Oreochromis niloticus: one gene and its partners. The protein of the gene in region 1 interacts with the protein of each later gene in a pairwise test. Links are inferred from orthologs where the notes say so. Each region holds a gene or a part of one and is shown on either strand. Other genes may lie near its edges.

Region 1 (7,444 bases):
TTTGTTTGTTTTTTTATTTATTTATTGTATTTACACTAGTTAAAATCATTTGGCTTGTATTCTCTACTTGTGTCTCTTTATTTAGATAAACACATTTCTTGATCAATTGTCCTTTCAACCCCAACAATTCTTTACCTTTTTCCTTTTTTAAACCACAGAAGCTACCAGGGGAGAAATAAGTAAGTGTCAGGCATCGTATCTTCTTAGTTACATGCGAGGATTTCCTGATGGATGTGGAACCTCTCTGTTTAGTCAATGGCATGGCTCGTTAGGTTTGTCCAGCCAAAGCATATGGCCAGTTACTGTGGCCAGCATCTCCTATTGGGAATTAGACATGGGGCATGTTTATTTAACTTGGCAGGACGCCTTGGTTACATCCATCCATTTTCTTAACCGCTTATCCTACTTAGGGACATGGGGTGGAGCTATCATAGGATGAGGGGCGGGGTACACACACTGGACAGGTTGCCAGACCATCACAGGGTCGACACAGAGACAGACAACCACACAATCTCTCACCTGCAGTCACAAGTAAACTCAACATGCATATCTTTGGATTTTAGGAAGAAGCCGGAGTACCCGGAAGAAGCCCATATAGGCACATGAAGAATGTGTAAACTCCACAAAGAAAGACCTCAGCAGATCCAAACTTTGTTGTGAGGCATCAGCGCTAAAAACTGCACCTCCATGCCATGTCCTTTTTTCATTATTATTCATCACTGACAACGCTATTCACCCCTTAAGAAGGGCATTTTCAGTAGCTCTCATACATTCGCCTCTAAATAAACTGTGTCCCATAATCTCATTTAAGCAAGCCTCACCAATTGGAACTTTCCTTAAGCACTTGTGGGCTCTTATTTTGAAGGATTATCCAAATGAATATTCATTACAATGGCTAACAGGAAATAACAGCTACATGTGTAGGATCACCACTTAAATCTCATTAAAAAAAAGTTTACCTAGGTTGCTCTAAAATAAGGTTTTAAAAAGCTTTTTTCCCCACTAACGTTATACTTCTACCACAATACTTGGCATTGAAGAATTTCCACATACATTTTAATACTAGACTTTTTTAGTGTAACGTTCTCTCTCACATAATTACTTAGAATGATCTCTAGTTAATCTAAATTAGCATCCACATAGTCATGACAAGAATCTTTTTCTCTATAACGTTTTATATTATGCAGTTTCCTCATAGAAACCATAGGTTTGTCATTTGGCGTTCATGATCAACAGGACGGTTAACTGCAACCCTTCTGAGTCATCACAACAAATGTCTGCTGTAAAAATGTCTTTGTGGCTACATATATCCGTACTGATAAGATCCGATGTAGGTTGCTACCTGGCTAGAAACAAAAACAAAGACACAGTCTGAAGTTCACAGCAAGTGCCTTTCATGTGGTGAAACAGTTAATGGATAATCTACTCAAGGCAGGCATGAGAAACTACAAAAACACAAGGTTCAGCTGTCAAAATAACACACAAGACAGTAATCCAGCAAAAAAAAAAGGAAATAAAATTAACAGCAAACTGCCCTTACACAATGTCCAAAGGTTTCATATGAAGTATCCCCAAATAGATCCATAAACCCTGTGTACTAAAAAAAGGCTTCAGTGTGGTGAGAGTGACTCAGATGATGAATCAACAGTGACAACCAACTGTTTCCTATCCTGCTCAAGCCCATTTCATATCCTCCCAGTCAAAACCAGCTGGTCCTCAGCAGGACCCGCCTTGGTATTCTGAAACCAGGTATGACATGCAAGGAGACCTGCATGCTCATGGCTAACACCTAATCCTCCTGTCTGTCTCTAATAAAGACAGTACATTAGAAAACGGATTTCACGTCTTACTCAATGTGACCTGAAATGAGTTGCTGGGCCCATAAACACATGAGGAAAGGGTTTATTGATGTCAGGACAGAGGGCTGTTTTCCCATAGACTTATACAGGACAGGAAGGCTTTTCTACAACCACAGGTATCGCCCTCTGGTGCTCATTAGAAAGAATGAAGGTTTAACGGCCTTCTGCACTGGTTTCACTATTAAGCCACGTCCACCCTTTATGATGCCTATGTGTAACAACAAACAACTAAAATCATCACAATCGTCACTCACTCAGCTTTCAAGCGGTTTGGTTAGGTTTTGTTTCGGATTTTATATGATCTATCACACCCCATATCCTCCTGCTTAAATAATACACGAATTATATGCACAGTATAACCACAACCCAATCAAATAGCCTTTGATCAACCACAGCAGAGACACCTAGCGGTGGCCACATTTCCACAGCAAGTGCATACACCGTCGCGATACTTAAAACAAGCACAGGTCTCCAAATAAATAGAAGAATGGCACAGTAACGTTGAGGCCTTTTAAAGAGACGAGCAATGGAGGCTTTGAAGTTACAGGAGCAGGATGGATGCTGCTGAGGATACCCACCAAGGCCCGTTTTACACAGCTAGTGTGCTAGCGCTGGAGCTTTACTCACTTGGGTCACGTTCAGTTAATAAACTGAAAGCCACTGACCGGCACTTACCTACGCCCGAGCTTCCTCCAAGTCCGGGCGAGTCCTGGCACCACTTAAACCAACCCCGACAAACTAAAGGCGTTTTCCGCACTTTTTGACCATAACGGCATTTCTGCCCCGTCTGCTAACATTAGCATACAGCTCCCTGCTAGCTACTAACTGTCAAGACTTGGCCAGCAAAGCTAAAGTCCCTCCTCCTGCTCTAGAAAACCACACTGACATGACCACAGCGCTGGGAAAACATCGACGATATCCATCATAGACTGAAGCCCAGCAAAGTCACACAGACGCGGCGTCGACAAACATATCCTCGTCCTTGTGTTATACTTACAAAAGATCCAGGGGGACTAATCCATCCATTGAACGTCGCTGGTAATATGTAATAGCAACACACAGAAGTGTGACATAAACGATTTTCAATCGGTGACCCAGTTTCTCTTCACCGTCATGCCTGTCGGACCACTAACCTAGTTTTTCAACCAATAGCGTTTGCCCTACCGTCGTAGGTGTCCCTTCAGCCAATCAGACGCGAGTTGAGGCTGGGAAACAATGACCGACGTGCTCGTTAGCCAATGACGGTCGGAGATGAAGGGAATGCAGACGCTAGCTGTGTGTGAGCCGTAGGCCCGAGTCCAATCCGTCCACTGCGCCCTCCCACTCCGTGACGAACCTAACCTCTCTTCTCATTTCACAGGTTGTCCTCGAGGTTATTCTGCTCCGTAACTAGTGTTCAGAAAAATCCCATTTAATCTAATAATTTGTAATCATTCTAGAAAAAAACATAAATGTAATTTTTATTTAGTTGTTTTTTCTCTGAAATTTTCATTTACTACAGAAATATTTGCTTAAGACGGTGGCTTAACTTGAACATATCAAGTCCTTCTCAAGTTCCACAATCACAAATGGAAATTTATGACTCAATTTTTCTTGTTTGTTTATCACGACGCTTCATTTCAATTATTTGGTTCTGAGGTGTTTTGTTACTTTGGTCTTTCTTAACAGTCTGAAATAAATTTTATTGAAACAAAGTTTGTAGATCCTGGAGTCCAGACACCAGACCAAAATGCAGATGGAAAAGGTGAGCAAGAGACAGCAAAAGAGGGGAACAGAACAAAAGGAATTACTTAACATAAGGGATTTTCTTATTTCTCTCATTTCTGCCTCCTCTCTCCTCCGTTCTTCTCACCGTAATGCGAAAACACATTTCATTACACATTTTGAAGGACATTTCAATTCCCAAAGTGCATTTGGTCCAGTAACGAATTAGGGAATGATATGGGACTCAGTATACCACTGATTGTTCCTCTTACTCTAAATCACAGACATTAAGTTGGTGCAGCATTGTTACTTGAAACTATGATAATGAAACTAATTGTGCAAAAGAAGATTGTGGCTTTTTTCAGGTGGATATCTCCTGTTCTTCAAAAGTTATGAAGGTCAAAAAAAAAAAAAAAAAGCTGGACCCATATATAACATATACTATATACACTATACAACCCACCTTTCAGAAGTAGTTAATTTAATATGGAATAACTATTTTCTGGAATTAAGACTTTCTTGAAGATGACGTGCAAGTAGGACAGAGGGTACAGGAAACACAGTCTAGACAAATGTGAGGTTTCTATGCTGAAGGGTTTTCAGTGGAAACAGAAACTCATCTCCAGACTTCTGGAGATTTACACCAAAGGGAACCGAGGCTGCGAGAAGAGAACGCAAAGTCCATTATGCTTGCATTCTTTTTTATGGCCAGCAGAGGGCGACAAGTGGGGTTATAAAAAGAAAGCTGTATAGAAGTTTAAACACATTCCTGGTGACATCATAAGCTCAATCACTAGTGTTAAGCTAAATTTAAGTTAAATTTAAGGTGTTCATTTTGTAAACGAAGAGGGCTTTACTGTATAATTCCCATGCTGGTAACCTGTGAGTGTGCAGTATACCTCTACTTGAGTTTCTCAGTCAGATCTGCCTCTTGCTTGTTACCTCAGTTTTAAAACATTACTGTTTGACTTCATAACAGAACTGTACTAAAAGAATCATAACATAATTAACAAATACATCAAAAATACTTGGAAAAAATGAGAATCAGAAAGCCTGGAGAAACAGCCTGCAGAGGTAAACGACAGCCTACAGAGACACAGACATAGAGACTGATGGAGACAGCCAGTCTAACAACAGGTTGTCTTGACTGTGAAGAAGGAGTCAGTAATTACACTCTTACAGTGCTGTGTGTTGATGGCATGGATGATTTATTTATTGTCTCTTATTTTTCCTGTATAGGATGAACTACATGCTCTGGGGTATTTGTGATAGCAGACACATGCACCAATTTAGATAATAATGCATGTTGTTGCAAAACTACATTTATATTTTCTACCAAAAACAGTTTGAATGGAATGAGAAACATTAACTTTCACGTATTCTTCCACTCACAGAGAACCCTCAGACATGATCTCAAATGCCTGTATAGTTTATGCCATCCAATCAGTCGACCACCTTCATACAATTCATCAACAGCAGATGAGAGAGGCTTTCATACTAGAAGCATTAGAATAGGATATAAACTTAGATATAAACCTGAAGGGGAAATTAAAGTGATATATAGTACTGACAGTGGTATGAAATCAATTTAAGGTGAAAAGCTGTGACACATTCTAACTTTTTTTTTTTTAAAGGGAATAAAAAGCCTATTTTCAGATATTACTGGATACCTTCATTTTCTTTTTTTAAAGGCCAAAACAGGGAACAAACCAGGGGCCAGCTATGCAGCTACTGCTTCTGCTGCAATGCAATTTGTGCTGTCTCCCCTGCTTTGTTCAGTGACTGCCAAATCCTGATGGAAAAAAAGTTCAACCAAAGACAGGGAGACCAAAACATCAAAACTGGTTAGACACTAGACAACTCTATTTGAAAGATTTGGTGGATGATTTCAGGTTTGTTCTGGATTTAAAATAGCAATACTCAAGCACAAGTGAAATTCTTGTGTTGCAGATGTAAATGTAACTGTTGTACATATGTGTTAGAGTTTAGACTAAAATCAATATTAGCTAAAGCTAAATAGCTGCAAACAGAAGTGGGCTCAGGTTTGACTCAAAATGACTTATCTATTAATCAGTTTCAACGTTCCTCTTCTTCATGAGTTGTAGTGGTATTTTTGATCCATGTAGCACTGTTTGGCTATTTTAAAAAAAAGAAAGAAGAAGTGTTTTTTAGCAATTTTGTAATCTTGAGCATTAAATAAGAAACAGTGTTATTTTTTCCCCTTTATGTAATATTATGATTTGGCATCAGCAATCAAAGAAGTTTTCACCAGTAAGTATTTGGGGATTCAAGTAATTTGGGTTTTGAAACAGTTGAATAATATAATGTAAGGAAACGGGTCAATTAAAAGACTTGACATAAATGCACTTTTTTTCTAATTAAAATATTGCCTTATTTAGTGATTTTACTTCATTTTGCATTTATTAAATACAATACGAAGATTTAAAAAACGGTCCATGAGTCCTTTGGTACCGGGCTGCGATAGTTTTAGCTCGGGTGTGAAATTTATGGTTTTCAGGGTTTTTATCGGTTTTTATCGGGGTTTTGGGGGGGGGGGGTTGTTTGTTTTTTTTAACGTTTTTATCGTTAATTCGGTTTCCGTTAACTGGGTCTTTTCACGTGTGTTATGAATAAACCTTCTTTGTTTTTATTTTGTTATATTTATCCGCGACACTTTAAAGACCGGTCAGCAAAAATATTGTTGGACATAAACCGGTCTGTGGCGCAAAAAGGGTTGGGGACCGCTGTTCTAGTGTTTCTATAATGAGGTCAGAGGAAAAGTGAGACATGTGTGTCTGACTGTGAGCACCAGCAGGTGGTGATATTGCTCTACTTACAGATGAAGTGCTCACAAATGGAAAGCGTGACATCTTTCTTTGTAATTGTTTTGCCCATGTTGCACCGCTACAACCGATGTTTTTAGGTGTGTATGAGTCGCCGCTCTACAATGTAGGCAAGAGCAAATATAGATATATCTTTTTTAAATTCCCTTTATTTTTCTTTGGTCGTGTTTTATATAACAGATGTTTAAGCTGAGTTTTGTTTTTTTTTAATTTAAAATAAACTTTTTACTCTTGAAGAAGATGAATTAGTACTTCCACTTTTGCCAGAGTATTTTTAACACATCTTTTCCTTTACGTACGTGACAAATGTCTGCGCTTTTGCCCCCTCTGCTGTATCATATGTTATCACATTGACAATTTATTACACTATTATATCTTGTTCATACAAATGCATTACAACAGTTGGAATTTTCTAAATCCATAATTAATAGCAACACACCATCAGATCTTAATGAAAACAAACTATCAAAAGGACTGACAAAAATCATGTAAATGTTAATTAAAATTACATTTTATATTTTATGTATATTTATATATATTTTGTATATTTGTTGTATATTTATTTATCTATTATTATGTATATTTTATGTCATAACCTGATCAACAGCCTGTTGATTATTCGGCTGTAATAACATCTGCTTCATATCCAGCTATTGTGTTGCATGAAGAACATAGATTTATATCCAGATTATGAGCTATATAACTGTTTAAAGTTAACTATAGTTTAATTTCCATTTTTTATGTGCATTTGTTTGTTTTGCCAACCTCCAGCCTGAACTCGATAAGAGATGAGTGGAAGGAATTTTTCTTCAGTCATGCAGAAAGGAGTTATACTGGATCCCCTTCCCAGCAGGACCCCCACCCCCCTCAAAAAACAAACAAACCTAAAAACAAAAACAGGATCTATTTTATTTGTTCCCCCCGGCTTCCTCCCACAGTCCAAAGACATGCAGTTTGTGGGGATAGGTTAACTGGAAACCATTAAATTGCCCATAGGTGTGAATGCAGGAGTGAATGTGAGTGCGATTGGTTGCCTGT
Region 2 (7,156 bases), on another chromosome or scaffold:
GGGTTCTCTCCATGTACTTCTTCCAACCATCCAAAGACATGCAGATAGTAGGGGTAAGGTTAACTGGTGATTCTAAATTGGCCGTAGGTGTGGATGTCTCCGTGTTAGCCCTGTCCAAAATGTACCCCAGCTTTCATCCCAAGGCAGCTGGGATAGGCTCCAGCACGCCTTCACCCTGAATTGGATGGATGGATCATGCTGACCAAAGACTTTGGTTTTGACCTTTTAGAGAAGGACATAACTACTGCACTGGCACTGGTGAGTTGCATTTAATTTAGAACTCACAAAATAAATAAAATAAATAAGAGCTGATTATCATGCTTTTGCAATTGTTGAAACAAACAGAAAGAAAATGCAGTTACAATTAAAATCCAATTCATCTCCGTGCTTTAGTGGCCTAACCTCGAGATGTCACACTGAAATTACAGGGATAGACGATGAGTCTTTTTCAGACACGCCATTCTCAGATCTGAAGATTTTGAGTGCTGTGTGTGAAAAAGCATTATGATTGGAGCAAGACTGGTCCCGGTAATACACCAGAGCCTACTTACGTCCACTGAGCACAATGCTTCCACCAGACATGTAGCAGCACAGTTCAGAAGTATCTCAGAAGCTACTTTTGGTCTCTTTAAGGTAGCACAGAGTAGAGGAAGAAGGCAGGGTGTCAGGGATGTTAATGGCATAGAATAACTGTTCAATTTCCAAATTGATTCCCCATCCAGACTAAAGCCTCTGCTTATGAAGTGCTCGGACATTTCAAGGGTGATACTGCGTTTTTTGGACCGGTACCAGTGCCAGTCAGTCAAAGCTGGACAAACTGTGTGATGACAGCATTTTTAAATGTCATCAAGCATCTTTTATGCTTTTTCTTTTTATGGTGTAAAAGAAAGAAATCTGACAACATACAGCTGTGATAGGCTAATATCAGCCAAAAGATGACAACATAGAACCTTTACTGCGAAATTGGTTTCAAATCGTGCTAAAAAGTTACATATGTGGTAATTTGTGGGAGTTGTGATCTAATTTTATTCACATGCAGATGACATTTAAATGAGTTGACTGTCCTCTTATCAGTTATGTCTAATGACCTTTCATTAAAGTCCAAGAATAGCACAGCAAGCAGCACCATTCATGTAGCAGTAAAACCCATGCTGTAGCAGCAGTTTGAAGAGCTGAAGATGTGTTACTGTAAATACAGCAGATCTATCGATTAACATTATCCAACTTTTCTTCTTCTCTCGTGTCTCCTGTTGCAAGTTTGTTTAGTCTTTCATTTGAAAAAAAAAGTCAAACTATTTGTCCCACTACAACTAGAAAGGGACACCTAGTCCTCCGTGCTAAATCTGTTTCCAACAAAAACATCCTTCATGTAGGAAACTCATTTTCACTCGTTCTCAAATGGAGGCGGTTGGAGATAAATGTAAAACACGGAGGCACGATGTTGATTTCAAACAGTGGATACAGTATTATGATGCATACAGTGTCAAACGTTCATCTTCCCGCAGTGTTACTGTATGTTTATGCGGTTTTTGTTGGTTTGTTCGCAGTCCCTGTATTTGTGAAGCTCTGTCTGTACATTTTGTTCATTGATGAATTATTTCCATGCCCTTCATTTGTGTTCATGTTGATTTTTTTTTTTTTTTGCCCTTTTGCGCTACGTGCCAAATGTACTGTATTTTAAAAGGATGTGAAGGTGTATTTTAATTTTTTGAAATGAATTAAATATCATGATGTCAGAGAGAGACAGCTGTTTGTTTGGCGTATCATTTCAGCTCCTGTGATTTTTAATGCTCACTTTGCACTGATTTCAGATGTGTCAAAAAAAAACAGATGAAAATATGTTTAATAATTTGCTCACTGTATTACATTACAGTGAGCAAAAAGCAGAGGCTACTGTATGTGTATCTTTTCTATCTGAAATATTTGAGATGTTGACTCAGGAGGACAATGTTAAACACCCAAAGCATTTATGTGTTTCTGAACAATGCGGTGCAACCTGCTCTTAAAACCACAGCTCATGAGAAACTTTGATGTTCCGCTCAGAATAACAACAATAGCTGTGACGCAGGCTGTCCTGCTTTATTCTGTCTACTTTGGTTTTTAGTTGTACACCTTACATATCCTAATTAGAAAAAGTGAATATTTAAACCCAGCTCTTGGTCTGTTCTGCAGATGCTTATACATAAACACAAATTGATACAGTCGTGTTATATCTACACCTGACAACCTGCAACATAGATAGAAATCTGGTTTGTAGTTCAACGGACAATGCCAGTAAATGACTCCCAAATGACAACCACCAGAAAAGTGCAAATGGTGAACTTGTCTGGACTTGAATGGTAAAAAATTTTCGTGATAAGAGATTCAATAAAAAAAAATCCAAGTTTTATGTAAAATCCAGAACAAGATTTCAATTTTAACTGAGGCTAAAAGCAGGACAGCAGGGTGTTTTCATTATTCTATTAAAGTATGAGTGGAAGAAGTGAGTTTGGATGAGTATACTTTCCACATCTTCGCCATTTTGAACGTTCTGGAGCCTTGGTGATGGAAACACTGCTGTGGAGACTGACAGCAGATCAGTGATAAGAAAGGCAAACCGAAGACGACATGCGAGGCTGCTTCTCGTGCACAGGCCTCGGGACTGACTCCTGCCCTACTTAATCCAACTTCAAACTGTAGTAAAAACATTTACTACATTTTATACTTTTCAAGTTAACTAAGACCACACGACATTTGATGACGTTGCATGATGGGGACTTTTAATCTGGAACGAGACACAAAATGTCAAGAATTTTTTAATGAAGCCAAGAAAGAAAGAACAAAACAGTTATAATTGTGTGTGTGTGTGTGTGTACATATACATATATATAAACTTAAATACATTTTGAAACTGGAAATTGTAATTGCCATCTGTGTTAAAACTTAACCTTCAAAGTAACAAAGTAATTTAACAGGTTGTGTAATAAAGTACTTACAGTACTACAAACTACAGCAATATAAATGTTGGTTGTATTTTGCAATTGTAGCTTTAGTGTGTTTCAAACAACAGATTGTAGATGCATCATAGTCACGACACACCTATGACATGCAGACTATGACCATGACATCACTCACTGGTTTTGAATTCCACATTTTGAAGTTTCAACAATAGCATTTTGAGTGTCGTCATGTGTTTTTTGTGTTTATTGAGTGAGTGTGGAGATGGTGGAATAATCAACACGGCCATCGCCCTGATTCCAGTATCTGGATGGATCCAGTTGCAAAAAGAGAAAATCATCCAACTCTTTGGAGGCTTTTCACCACTAGAAAAGCAGGAAATGGAAAAAAAAAAAAAAAAAAAATGAGTTACCTGACTCAGAATCTGAATTTACTGACCAAGGGTCTCAAAATGTCAATTCACTTCTGAGTAAGACAAAGTTTTACTTAACTTGAAATTTTAAGTTATTAAGTCAAAGTTTCTGCAAACTGAGCCTAAATTTTTACTTCACTGGAGAAATTACCAGCAACTATCCTAAAGGCGCTCAGCTTTGGAGGTTGAGCCTTACCTGATTAGGATTTCCTAAGTTTAATACATGAACTATAAATAATAGGCAAACACTGGCAAACTTAAGACTGGATTTTAAACTTCTTAGTCTAAGTTGACATAGCATTTCCTCCAGTAAAAGTTCAGCTTCGCCTAGAAAGGTCACACAAGTAGTTAAACTGTGCCTTTAAAGAAACAGAACTAGGATACACTTTTAAAGAGTTAAAACTCACTTTTGAGACAATCTGATCCTGTGTGTTTATGATATAAAGATAAATTCTCAGAACAGTTGTAATCATGGTTTCATGTAAAGCTTCATAAGCTTACATTAAAGTGAGAGGTGACTACATTATACTTCTAGTCTGGTTACTGTAGGCTAGTTTTAGGCCAAAAAGCGACTTTATCTACAGATTGTCTGCACTGGAGCTTTATAACGTCCTCACCTGTAGGAATAAGATCAGCGGTAAGGAGTTCAGCGGCCACAGTGGGAGGGGCGGGGCTGAATAAAGGGGCGGGGTGGTCTCCCGGTGGCGTTTCCAGCCAATCAGCTGTTCGGGACTGAGCTTCAGCTGAGCCTCAGGTCAGAGGCAGAGCAGCTCTGGGAGTTTGCATATCAGCAAGCGAAGAAAAGTTTTGACAAGCGGACCTGCGGGCGGCTTCTGTCAGCAGCAGCAGCAGCTCAGCGTTCAGCCTGTGTGGAGTCTTTTCTCAGCGGGTGAGAGGTTGTACAATCCTCGGCAGTGTTCTGAGACTGTACGGCCCCAATCCCCCAGCTCAATCACCGCCAGCCTGGACTAACTGAACGCTTCACAGGTTTAATGACTTCATCTGTCAGCGGGCTCCTTGTGACCTGCGCACTTCGGTCTTAAACCTGCTTTTTTCTCGTCTCCCTATTTTTTCAATATAATTTTTTTTTTTTTTTTTTTTTTTTTTTTTACTCTAAAGTTGGACTTTACTCAAGACTGTCGTGGAAACAGCATTGCGAAAATATGACAGCCGATAAGGAGAAAAAGAGGTAAGAGATACTGGATTCACTCCTCTCCTTCAGCCTCTCTGCGGTTTTAATTGCCTTCCGCTTGGATGTGACTTTATTAATTCGCGGCTTTAATAACATAGACTGTTTATTTAGTGCAGAAATTGCCTGACATTTGGCTGCTGTGGCACAGAGAGGGACCTGTTGCTGCAGTGCTGCATGTGACTTGGCCTAGCTTTGCGCTCTGTGCTTGTTTGGAAGGCAGCGACAGGCGGTGGTTTCACACAGCTTTAATCTTAGCATTGCATTAATTTTGATGCACCGGGGCTGGAAGGTAAGTGGCCGGTTTAGCCTGTAACTGAACTGAGCTTTTGTTTTGGAAATGAGCTGCCGATTGTTAATGGCTTTAACCACACTTGATTTGGGTTTCACTGCGAGAAGCCGCATTCACATTGAATTGTGCATATTTTAAAACCCCGAATGAACTTTAAAGGACTTTAAAATACTTTCTAAATATATTCAAATTTGAAATTTAATGCCATTTCTGATCTGCTTCTCGCTCATTCTAAGGTTAAACCACACTGCTGACTAATTTCCACATTAAGTGGTCCTGTAAACAAATCATTAACTTTTAAAAAATTATGTGTGTGTAAATACCTCTATAGGGGCTCGCTGTTGAAATGCACAACACTTGTGATCTTTTTAAATGGAAGTTCTTTTCTTCATATGAAACTTCATTTTTCTTGCATAATTAAACCCACATAAAACACTTTGATCCTGCACACAGGATGCAGAGCAGACAGAGAAAAGGCTCAACTTGCATGCAAAGTAGCAGCTTACTATAGAAGAGTACATGTCATTATAAATGTATAAATATTAACAAGATCTACATGAAGTTTTGAACAAGTAGTAACAAGAGGGGAAAAAAAGACACCACACATTTTTTTTTTTCTTTTTTGAGTAAGGCGGCACTTTCTAGAGAGAATCCAAGCTCTTAACCTTTAACCTCCTTTTAACAGAAGTCGGGCATCAGTAAAGGATAATCAGTCATTACAGCAGATATCAGACTGCCTGATCAGGAAAGTTCTAGACCTGCAGATATATTGCGGTACCTTGCTGTGAGAGTGCTTTCCTGCACAGGAAAGTACTCTAACCACCTGATGTTTAGCCAAAATCTCAAAAACTGTTGCTGATATTTGGCGGCATGATTGGCAGCATTCGTAGAGCTGTGACATCTTTTTTTTTCTTAACTTAGTCACATGACACAGCAGATAATCTTGTCCTGTAACCAGTTTGTCAAACAGGAGATAATTATGCATGTTTCATCTAGGTCAGTGTATCCCAGCACTGATCTGACCAAGGCCTGGATACTGCATGTTTTCTACAGTGAAGTTGTTTATAATTTGGCTCTACAACTAATTATGTATTGTATTATTTCAGGTTTCTTCAGTTTCCCTGGCTTTATTCCTTTTTTTTCTGGTTGTTAATTGTTCATCGGTAGCCATGAATCCTCAGGCTTAATCTTGTGTAATAATGCTTTACTGGTCTCAGCCTGTCTCGGTTTGTGTGGTCACAACAGCCCGTTTAGCTTTAACATCTTACCTGTGGGAAATTCTAAATTAGGTTTCCTGCTTGATTCCTGGTGAGAGCGTGAAATGATGCTCAACTTAACATTTAATTAAGAGATTCCCAGAGATTTTCTGCAAATTAATCTTTCACACTACCTGGAGAAGAAAACTAATTTCAACCAGTGCAGCTGTTTTTGCTTGACACCTGCTTGTATGTCCAGTGCACCTCTGACTCTTTTCTCTGACTCTTGTCTGTCAGATCAAGCCTAAAGGTGAACAAAGCAGGGGACTAAGGCAGGATAACTGTTCCAGGGGTGAAAACATTCAGAGAAAGAGGGAGAAAATGACTTGGGGAGATGGAAAGTGAGATGAGTATAGGGGCATTTCCTCTGACTGGTCAACGCCTCGGTGCTCCCACTGAAGACCTATCGGCCATTTTAGGGAAAGGGATCTCTGCAAGTGTGTCTCTGTCAGGCTGCACATGAAAAGCGTGTGTGTGTGTAAGTGTGTGAGAGTTCACTGGTGTTTGTCCTCTCGCTGGTGTGCTCTGTGTATGTGTGTGTTTGTCTTTGTGTCACACAGTAGTATGTTGTCACTGCTGCTGCCTGGAAGTCATAATTGGTTTGATAAGTTTTGATTCATGACAGCTGCCAGTGTTTATTTGAGATGCGGTGTCTCTCACTGGTTTTATTAATAATACTCATGTGGATGTGATGAACTGACTTCTTGTCCAGCAGGCACATATTTTCTGTATCCTGATACACAAAAAGATTTTAGAAGATTTTCACCACTGAGCCACTGATTTTTCTTTATAAGTTGGTGTGTATGTCTTTTTTCTTCCATGAACAAGCCCAACATGTTCATGGAAGAAGGAAAATGAACAAACTGTCAGATATAGTCTGCAAATGGGGAAAATAATAATAAGTGTTTAGTAACTGACTAATCATTTACATTTCTGCAGTTGGAACTTTAAAGGCAAATATTCAAATATTTGATGGGTTGGGACTTCATCATTAACTGAAAATAAAAAAAAATGTATAAGTCAACAAATAGTACAAGACTTGATGAGGGGAAAAAGTAGTGATTTCACAC
Region 3 (7,941 bases), on another chromosome or scaffold:
TTTGTATGCCTTCTAGTTTTCTGTGGAAGATTTTAAATTAATATGGTTTGTTAAAGAAAAAAAGCAAAACACCGTGATAAGACTTGAAGTCAATGTCAGTACTGAGACAATAAGGCCAAAATGAGCTAATCACACACAAAAAGATGACACCTCTGGTGCTCAGAGGTAAGCGGGAATTGGTTATTTGCAACCTCTGATCTATTAATCAACCTGTTGTGAGATTTCACCTCATTTCATGTGTGTTTGTGATGATTCATCATGGGTTGAACATTCAACATTCATTCTATGTGGAGCACAGCTCTGTTTTCTTAAAGAGACAGAAAGCAGGAGGAGTCCCTTTGCTGTTGCACAGACCTACACCATTTGTGCATGCCCAGTCACACTAAGCAGCTCTAGCAATATTCAGACTAGCTTTCAGTTTAAGCTTGCAGGACATGGCCCAGTAACCTACTTTCCCCACAACATGCTCTGTAACATCAGAGAAGAGGCTATGTGTCATCAGTTAACTAACCTTCACCACAGCATAGTTTCAGCAAAGAGATGCAAGAAGAAGAAAAAGAATCACAGACACTAATCACAGTTATATGTCAGGACAGAAATGTCCACAAGGCCTCATGCTCAGTTTATACTTAAAGGTGAAATAAATCCTGATAGAACTTATAATATAACTTATATTCCCTGCATTTAAAGGTCTCCAGGGGAGGAGACTAAAACTAAAAAAGACAACATGAAGAAGATTAGAGAAGAAAACTTTCAATTTGAGAGCAGAAAAGTCTCAAATTGCCATTCCACTGAGTACAGGGCAAGCTAATTACATTACAATAAATGTTGGTTATAAAAAAACAAACAGATGTGTAACATTTGTGGCAGCTTTTCTCAAAACTCTGAAATCTTTGTTTGACGGGAACACGTCTTAGCAGAACCTTAGCAGATTGGGTTTCTGCTGTGCACAGCCTCGTGTATCAGGTGATCAGCACCGTAAATGGTTAAACCCCACTACCTGACATCCTCAAACCAGTCTTCTGGGTTTCTGGGTTACCACACACACACCTTAAAACGAAACACCCACACAGTCTGACAGCTGTGTCAGTGGTGCACAGTGCACTACTGACACAGCTGGTCCAGGCTCACTCTACATTTGTTTATCACCCAGAGGCCAAATTTTTTAGTCTGACAAGTTGTGGATGGCCTTCTCCATGATACCTGTCAGTTACTGGAAGCTGTAAAAGGATTGTGATTGACTCCTATATACTGTTTTCATAGTGGTAGACCTAATGCCAAAAGTGGAATCCACCACTTTTTCTAGCTCGCCGTGTAACAATGTTCTGATTGTCCCATTTAGTAGCAGGATTAGAATTGGCTGAAGGGAGAAGAAGACAGCATGAGTCATGAGGCAGGCCCAAATGTTTAGCAGCACGATATAAAGAGGAGCATATGGTGCAGTGAACAGCCCAGTTCAGTCAGTCATGGAACAGCCTCATCCTGCCCCGCTCAGCTGTCAGCACACATCCTCATCACTGCTCATGGCTCCTGGGCCAACCTCAGCACTGACACAGCAAGCCGGAAAAATGGCACAAGCCTCAACACGAGTGTAAGTAGATGGACACACAGGATAATCTTTTAGACTCTGACAGCAGCACATTTTGGAGCAAAGAAAAAAAAATGCCTCGGATCCCTCGCTCTGGGTTTTGTTTCGCATCAGGTCCCCGAACCACAGCCGTCACTGACATAGCATCAGTCATTCAGATCAGACATTCAGATGTATATCAGAGCTGATTTTACTAGGACAAGTGTCTTGGCTTATCAGACTCTAGTTTGTTTGTCTGTTTGTGCCAATTAAGCCACATTCATATTTCATTCCTCATATTTCAAATCTCACACACACACACACACAAGAATCTTTCTTTTTCAGATGCAGTCAAGTGTCTCCATATGGAAAAAACTAACATTTCAGAGCTAGGTCAGCACATAGGTTCCATTATACAGTAGTTACTGCACTTACTAAGATTTTTACACAGCTTCACACAATATAATGATTATAACACACACTAAAGGACCAAGACTTTCTTCACTTAGTAAACAGAAATAAAAAAAACAAACAATCTAAACAGTCATGTATGTGTTTGATTGGGACATAAAGAAGCAGAAATACCATCTATTGCTATTATAAAAACACTGTGAAGCAGACTGAGTCAGGAGAAGAGGGCAGCTATTAAAAACAACTTTTTAAATTATTATTATTACTTGAAAGTTTCCAATTTGAAGCCACATTTATAACAACCGCAACAAGTATCGAGCACAAAACGACACTCACCTTATTCTGCCGAATAAGGATCCAAACAGGAGCGGGTGTATATGTGTGTGAGAGTCTGGGTTTTAACAGATAAAACTCAGACGTGTTACATTCCAGAAAGTTGCTCACAGGTGAAACTGCACTGCAGTCTGCTAACGATTCCTGCCGCTGTCTGTATTTAGGCTGCAGCACGCTGCTGATGTGACCCAGCCTACAAACCTCACACGTTCATTAGAGCGCGCTGGACAGTCCGGCTCCTGTCCGCGGACTCATGCAGGCTGAATGAAGAGCCTCCGGCAGCAGCCAGTGTGCGCTCGCGCTCACAGCCCCGCCCACTGGTCCACATACTATATTAAGTTATGTGAGCAGGCTGATTGCAGTCTGCCGAAGGGCGGAGGTGGTCCTTCAGCCCCGCCTGTTCTCACGACGTCATTGGAGGAAAGTGCCATCCAATACCGCCCATCTCCACAGGGTTACCGTAAGGGGGTGTGGCTGGACCGCCATCCAGCCTTTCAGTTGTCTGCATTTGGGGGTTTCTCGGCCAGACAACACTACAGGTAGAATACCGCGTGGGTGCAACACAACTGAAGATCACATTTAGGCTGCTTGACACACCACTGCTCGGCTGATTTGTGTGATTCGTGGTCTCTGGGTCAGCCACAGCCGGGCTTCGTAAAGTTTGTTGGTCTGAGAGACGCACCGCAGAGTCGCACCTGTCCCCTACTTTCTCCTCAGTCCAACCAATCAGTGGACGCTGCAGCGCCACCTTTAGTTCAGTCCGTGCAATCTGCATGGGTAAACTGCTAAAGGTGCAACAGCTCAAATGAGTCACTCCAGTATATGCAATCGGTTGAAGCTGGAAGAGGTGTATCTCACTGAGTTTCCCTGGTTTGCTATTTTACATTACAGCTATAGCATTACAGGTCACTACTCATGGCCCTGGCTGCTGACATATCATGCATACTTCACATATAATTAAAATGGTTGAGATGTTAGTGGATAAGCAGATATGCTTTTAAATGCTGTGTTGTAGGTAGGTCAAAGCATCTGGGGGTCCAAACATCTGTCAGTCTTGGATTGTCCTCCCCAGAGCCCAGACCTGAACATTATTGAAGCGGTTGGTGATCATATTAACAGTAAATATCCAAAGAAGAGCTTTGAACGTCCCTCAAGAAACCTTGGAGAACTTTTCTTGAAGACTACTTAGAGAAGTGACAAGAAAGCTGCGTAAAAGAGTTTAGACTGGCTTTCAAGCTCATTAGAATTGTGCAAACTCTGTTTTTGCCCTATATACTCTATGTTCTTGTTTGTACAAAAATCACTGGACCTATTTTTCAGTTTCCAATCAAAATATAAAGAAATAACAGGTGGCTCTTTGCTTTTGCACAATGCTTTATTTATAAATCTGCAATATTTCTAGGGTGGCATACAAACAGAAGAAACTTTATGTGACAGGAAAGGTTAACTCCTTTTGAAAAAGGCAGCTGAAGCACATGTTCAGATCACACTCCTGCAGATCAGTTCTGGAGACTTGCTGAAGTAAAAAGCAAGTGGCACTGTATGTAAAAGTCTGAAACATTTGTACAAAGTTAGACTGATTTGTGGATTTTCATATGTCTAAAGACAAGGTAGCATGTAACACTCTAAAACAATTCTGTTGCGAGAGTTGCATCCAAAGCATGATCAAATAGGCCAACACCCCCACTCCTTCACTTCATCTGTCAAAAGATATCCTGTCTAATAGACCTCTCAGAGGATGTGTGTCTCTAAATCACTCCTCAGGAGGGGAAACAAGGCCAAATGCTTCGAGTGGGTTAAAACATACTTGTATTTCACAGCGGACTGACTATTAAATCATGAATTTCGTTATTCATGACCGTAACAGAAGGGTGTATGTAAGGCTGCTGCCAGAAGGGAGAATGACACCACAGCATATCAAATCATTTTCAGGCCACATAGATGTTTTGTCTGCAGAGAAAACTCTTTTGCAACTGCCTGCGAGAAAGCGTGTGAGTCGGCCAGTCGTCACACATCATTTTCCTTTACAATTTTCCCGGTGAATAGCTATTCATGAACAGGGCAAAGACGGCATGGCTCTACGTGAGGAGAAATAAGTCTACACCATCCCTCCACTGTTATTCTATATATAAAATGCTTTATCGTGGAGTCAAACCACACACATAAACACACACTCACACACAAAGAGCCCTCTTCAAACAATGACGAAGTGAACATAAGCTGCCAATTCTCTCAAAAGCAATATTTGAAGAAACCACAGCAAACGGCAAGAGAACTTTTTTAAATTTCACTGGAGATCAAGAGTGAACCTTGAGAGTGTACGTATGTGAGCGAGTACGTGAAACCACAACTCAAAAATCCAATAACAATCTCAGCTTTGCAGCTGTGATCTGTGATGATGGGTGTTGTGTCAGCCGTGCACGGTGAGAAACACGGTGAGAAACTTCAAAAGACGTTTATACATAATCTTTGTTTGTTCATTTTTTGCTAGTTACAAAGAAGGAAAGCATAGGGTATTTATTTTCAGCTTCCCAAATAAAATAGTGACCTCACCTTGGTGGTTATTTGAGACTCAGACATGCTCTCAACCTTTCCATGAGTCTTTCTATCTAAGCCAATGAATGGAGCTTTTTCAGTTTTTAGATTTTTCAAGGAATTGTGTGCAGGGTTCAGCTTCAGTATTACACCGATACACTCTGTGGTTTTTTTGTGAACGTGTGAATAATACACCATTAATGTTTACGCATGAACTATTTAAATACATAAGTCTGTCAAATTTGTTTTCTACATGTGCAAAAATGTGTGCTTCAAAAACATTTCATCATGAAAACATGTCAGGCTGTAAAACATGACTGTGCATCACCCAGAAAACTTCACCCAGGGTGACAGGAATAAAATAATGAACATATATGTCTCAACAGTTCTGCATCATTTTGGGTAAAACTGCATAATTTAGTGTCACTCAATCTAAAAGTAAGAAAGGCCATGAGGTTTTCTTCTCCTTCTTTCACTTACTCCCTTTAGGGGTCACCACAACAGATCAGTTGCCTCTCTTTTAACCTATGCACAACATCCTCTACACCCTCTTTCAAAAGTACTTCCTATCTCCTTTTACTACCCAAATGGACACATACTTCACCATAATGTGTTCTTACCCTGTTGTTTTATGTGGCTCATACAAATGAGAACAACCTTCCTTACAAAGATATTGTTGCAAGATGTTATGAACGAGTCTGTGATTGGCACAGGTGGATGGTTTGAAACTGTAAGCGAAGTGCCAAAACTATGGCTCCGTCCTAAACTCTTTACGCAGTCCTGCTACGAGCCGACCCCCACTTATTATACTGGTGTTTTCATGAAACATATCAGAAATGATCTAAACTGAGCTTTTTTTCTCAGAAGTGTGCAGAGACTTTTCTCTATTGAGTCTGTTACGAACACAGCGACATATCTGTCAGAATATAGCTATTAATGGGACTGTGTCAGTGTGGTAGACTAATATCTGAGCCATGTGCACATTTACCCAGGTGGCACAGTAACGGTACTTTAATTATCACAGGAACTGTCCATGATCAATCAAATAATGTTAGGTGTCTTACAGGTCTTCTGTTAAACACAGATTTCAGGTTCATTTGGTGAAGCTGTTAAAAACAATGCAGCTTTTCTATGGATCAAGCTCCACCTGAGTCTCAGCCCCTAGGACCTCACACACAGTGCCCAGAGACTTCTATCTATACCTTATATTAAAAAAAAAATATTGATCATCCATCAATTCTTCTGATTTGTGAATTACATCATTATTTTATTAAACATTATTATTTTTATTAGTAATTACCTGATTATTTTGTAATTTTTTTATTAGGCCTCCATCACTCACTCTCACTTGACGCTTCCTTTATAGGGTTTGCTGGCCTTGAGCTGTTTCTGGTTATCACTGAAGTGAAGTGGCTGGGTTTTTATATATAAATTATAGAAAACACTGAATAGATAAACCTGTGATTGCAGCATTACAATAAGTTACCTCTAAAAGCCTGTAAAATTAAACACATCTTCTTTTCTTATATTTACTTGCTGAAAAATGATCCAGTCTGCTTTCCTCATTGTTTAGGATTTCTATTTCTAGGGCTCCCTTCCTAAGCATTTTAAGAACAGCTCTTATTGGCTGTTTAGCAGATAATTCTGGTCACTTCACTGAGTTAGGAACCTTCTTAAACAAAAAACATCCATGAATCTCCTCTGTGCTCGTTCTCTTTTCCTCCTGCCTGGCAGCTTCATCGTCAACATGCTTTACCCAGCGTATCCACTATCCCTCCTCTGCACATGCCCAAACCCTCTCAACCCTGCCTCTCTAACTTTGTCTCCACACAAAGGCAATGATGTTCAAGCCCACCCTTTAGAACTCAGCCTTGCAAGGGTGAGCTGGTGGAAATAAATGCTATACTATTTCACAATTCAACAAGCTGCACATTTTCTTTGTTACTGTTAAAGTCAAGGATGATTCTTCCACAATGACACCCAGATGCTAGAGACTGTAACCAAAACACTCCTCATATCAAAGACGAATGCATTTGTACCTACTAGAAAATGAACTGATAGAAAACTTATTTATTTGGACATACTTTTTGTATGTCCAAATATATTAAGATCAGTGAGATTGCTCCAACAATTGCAACTGTATATTGACTGGCAACAATATATTTAAAACCACAAATATTTTTATTCACAAAATAGCATTGTTGCCCCCCCCCCCCAAAAAAAAAAAAAATAAATTACGAATACATTTACCCTTTAAAATATTAATCCTGAAAAAAATTATTTTACCGCTGAAAAGTATTAACGTTCAATTGTTGTGTAAAATCTGTGAAATTTTAACGAGTTTTATTTGTAACATGGATTCATTCTTTCTGAAGAAAGCACTCCGTCCGGTACTGTGTTGATTCACTAGAGGGCACTAATCCAAAGCAGCGGATAGTATGGGAACAACTTGCGAGAGGAGGCCATTCACTAGCCTGTTTTAGCTACACACACCTAGCTACTCTTAGCTAGCCGGCGGCTAACCAGCGAGCTAAAACATCAGTTTGTCTTAATGTCGCCTGTCTTACCAAGTGATGGCAAGAGAACAGTGTTCACAAATCGAAGCTGGTGAGTACTGACCGCTGCTTTAATTCGCGACTAAATATTTTGCATTTACACTGTTTTCAGTTGTGTGCCAGGTAGCGAGCTAATTAACCGAGCGCAGCTGGCTAACGCTAGCTCCGCTCAATAGCTACCTCCGTTAGTACCAAGCTCATTTACTGTTTTTCTTTTCAGAACTCTATTACCTCATTGCCAGATTTCTGCAGTCTGGACCGTGTAAAAAAGCCGCAAAGGTAATACCTTACGATGAACAAAATAGCAAGTCGTACTGGTTAAAAATCGTCTAAATAAGTAGGTTTCTTAGCATCCGTTGCTAACTGTGTCTCTGTTGTTAGATCCTGATCGAGGAGCTGGAGGAGTATGAGGTAGGTTCAGCTGAACCTTTCTGATTTTATTCTCATGTGTGGGTTTCCGTAGTGATGCCCATCTCGACGCTTTTTGGGGCCAGCTTTTTAGTAGTTTTGATCGATGCTAGATAAAGGAGCGCGATTCCC

What was found. The genes of interacting proteins can lie anywhere in the genome.
Region 2: the proteins of aryl hydrocarbon receptor nuclear translocator-like protein 1 (region 1) and epas1b interact in binary tests that used the Homo sapiens proteins (3 or more experiments, as listed by UniProt). The link is inferred for Oreochromis niloticus from reciprocal best matches to the Homo sapiens genes BMAL1 and EPAS1.
Region 3: the proteins of aryl hydrocarbon receptor nuclear translocator-like protein 1 (region 1) and npas2 interact in binary tests that used the Homo sapiens proteins (3 or more experiments, as listed by UniProt). The link is inferred for Oreochromis niloticus from reciprocal best matches to the Homo sapiens genes BMAL1 and NPAS2.

What each region holds. Positions count from the first base shown.
Region 1 is NC_031972.2:5,392,474-5,399,917, forward strand, and holds the start of aryl hydrocarbon receptor nuclear translocator-like protein 1, read right to left. Parts: upstream 3,014-7,444; 5' UTR 2,857-3,013; intron 2,752-2,856; exon of another isoform or gene 2,535-2,751; intron 1-2,534. UniProt on the Homo sapiens protein: Transcriptional activator which forms a core component of the circadian clock.
Region 2 is NC_031978.2:5,142,138-5,149,293, forward strand, and holds the start of epas1b (endothelial PAS domain-containing protein 1b), read left to right. Parts: upstream 1-4,134; 5' UTR 4,135-4,336; intron 4,337-4,468; 5' UTR 4,469-4,512; coding exon 4,513-4,538; intron 4,539-7,156.
Region 3 is NC_031975.2:10,397,742-10,405,682, forward strand, and holds the start of npas2 (neuronal PAS domain-containing protein 2), read right to left. Parts: upstream 3,023-7,941; 5' UTR 2,315-3,022; intron 1-2,314. Other genes in the region: brwd3 (bromodomain and WD repeat-containing protein 3), read left to right, coding at 7,420-7,453, 7,622-7,680, 7,783-7,812. UniProt on the Homo sapiens protein: Transcriptional activator which forms a core component of the circadian clock.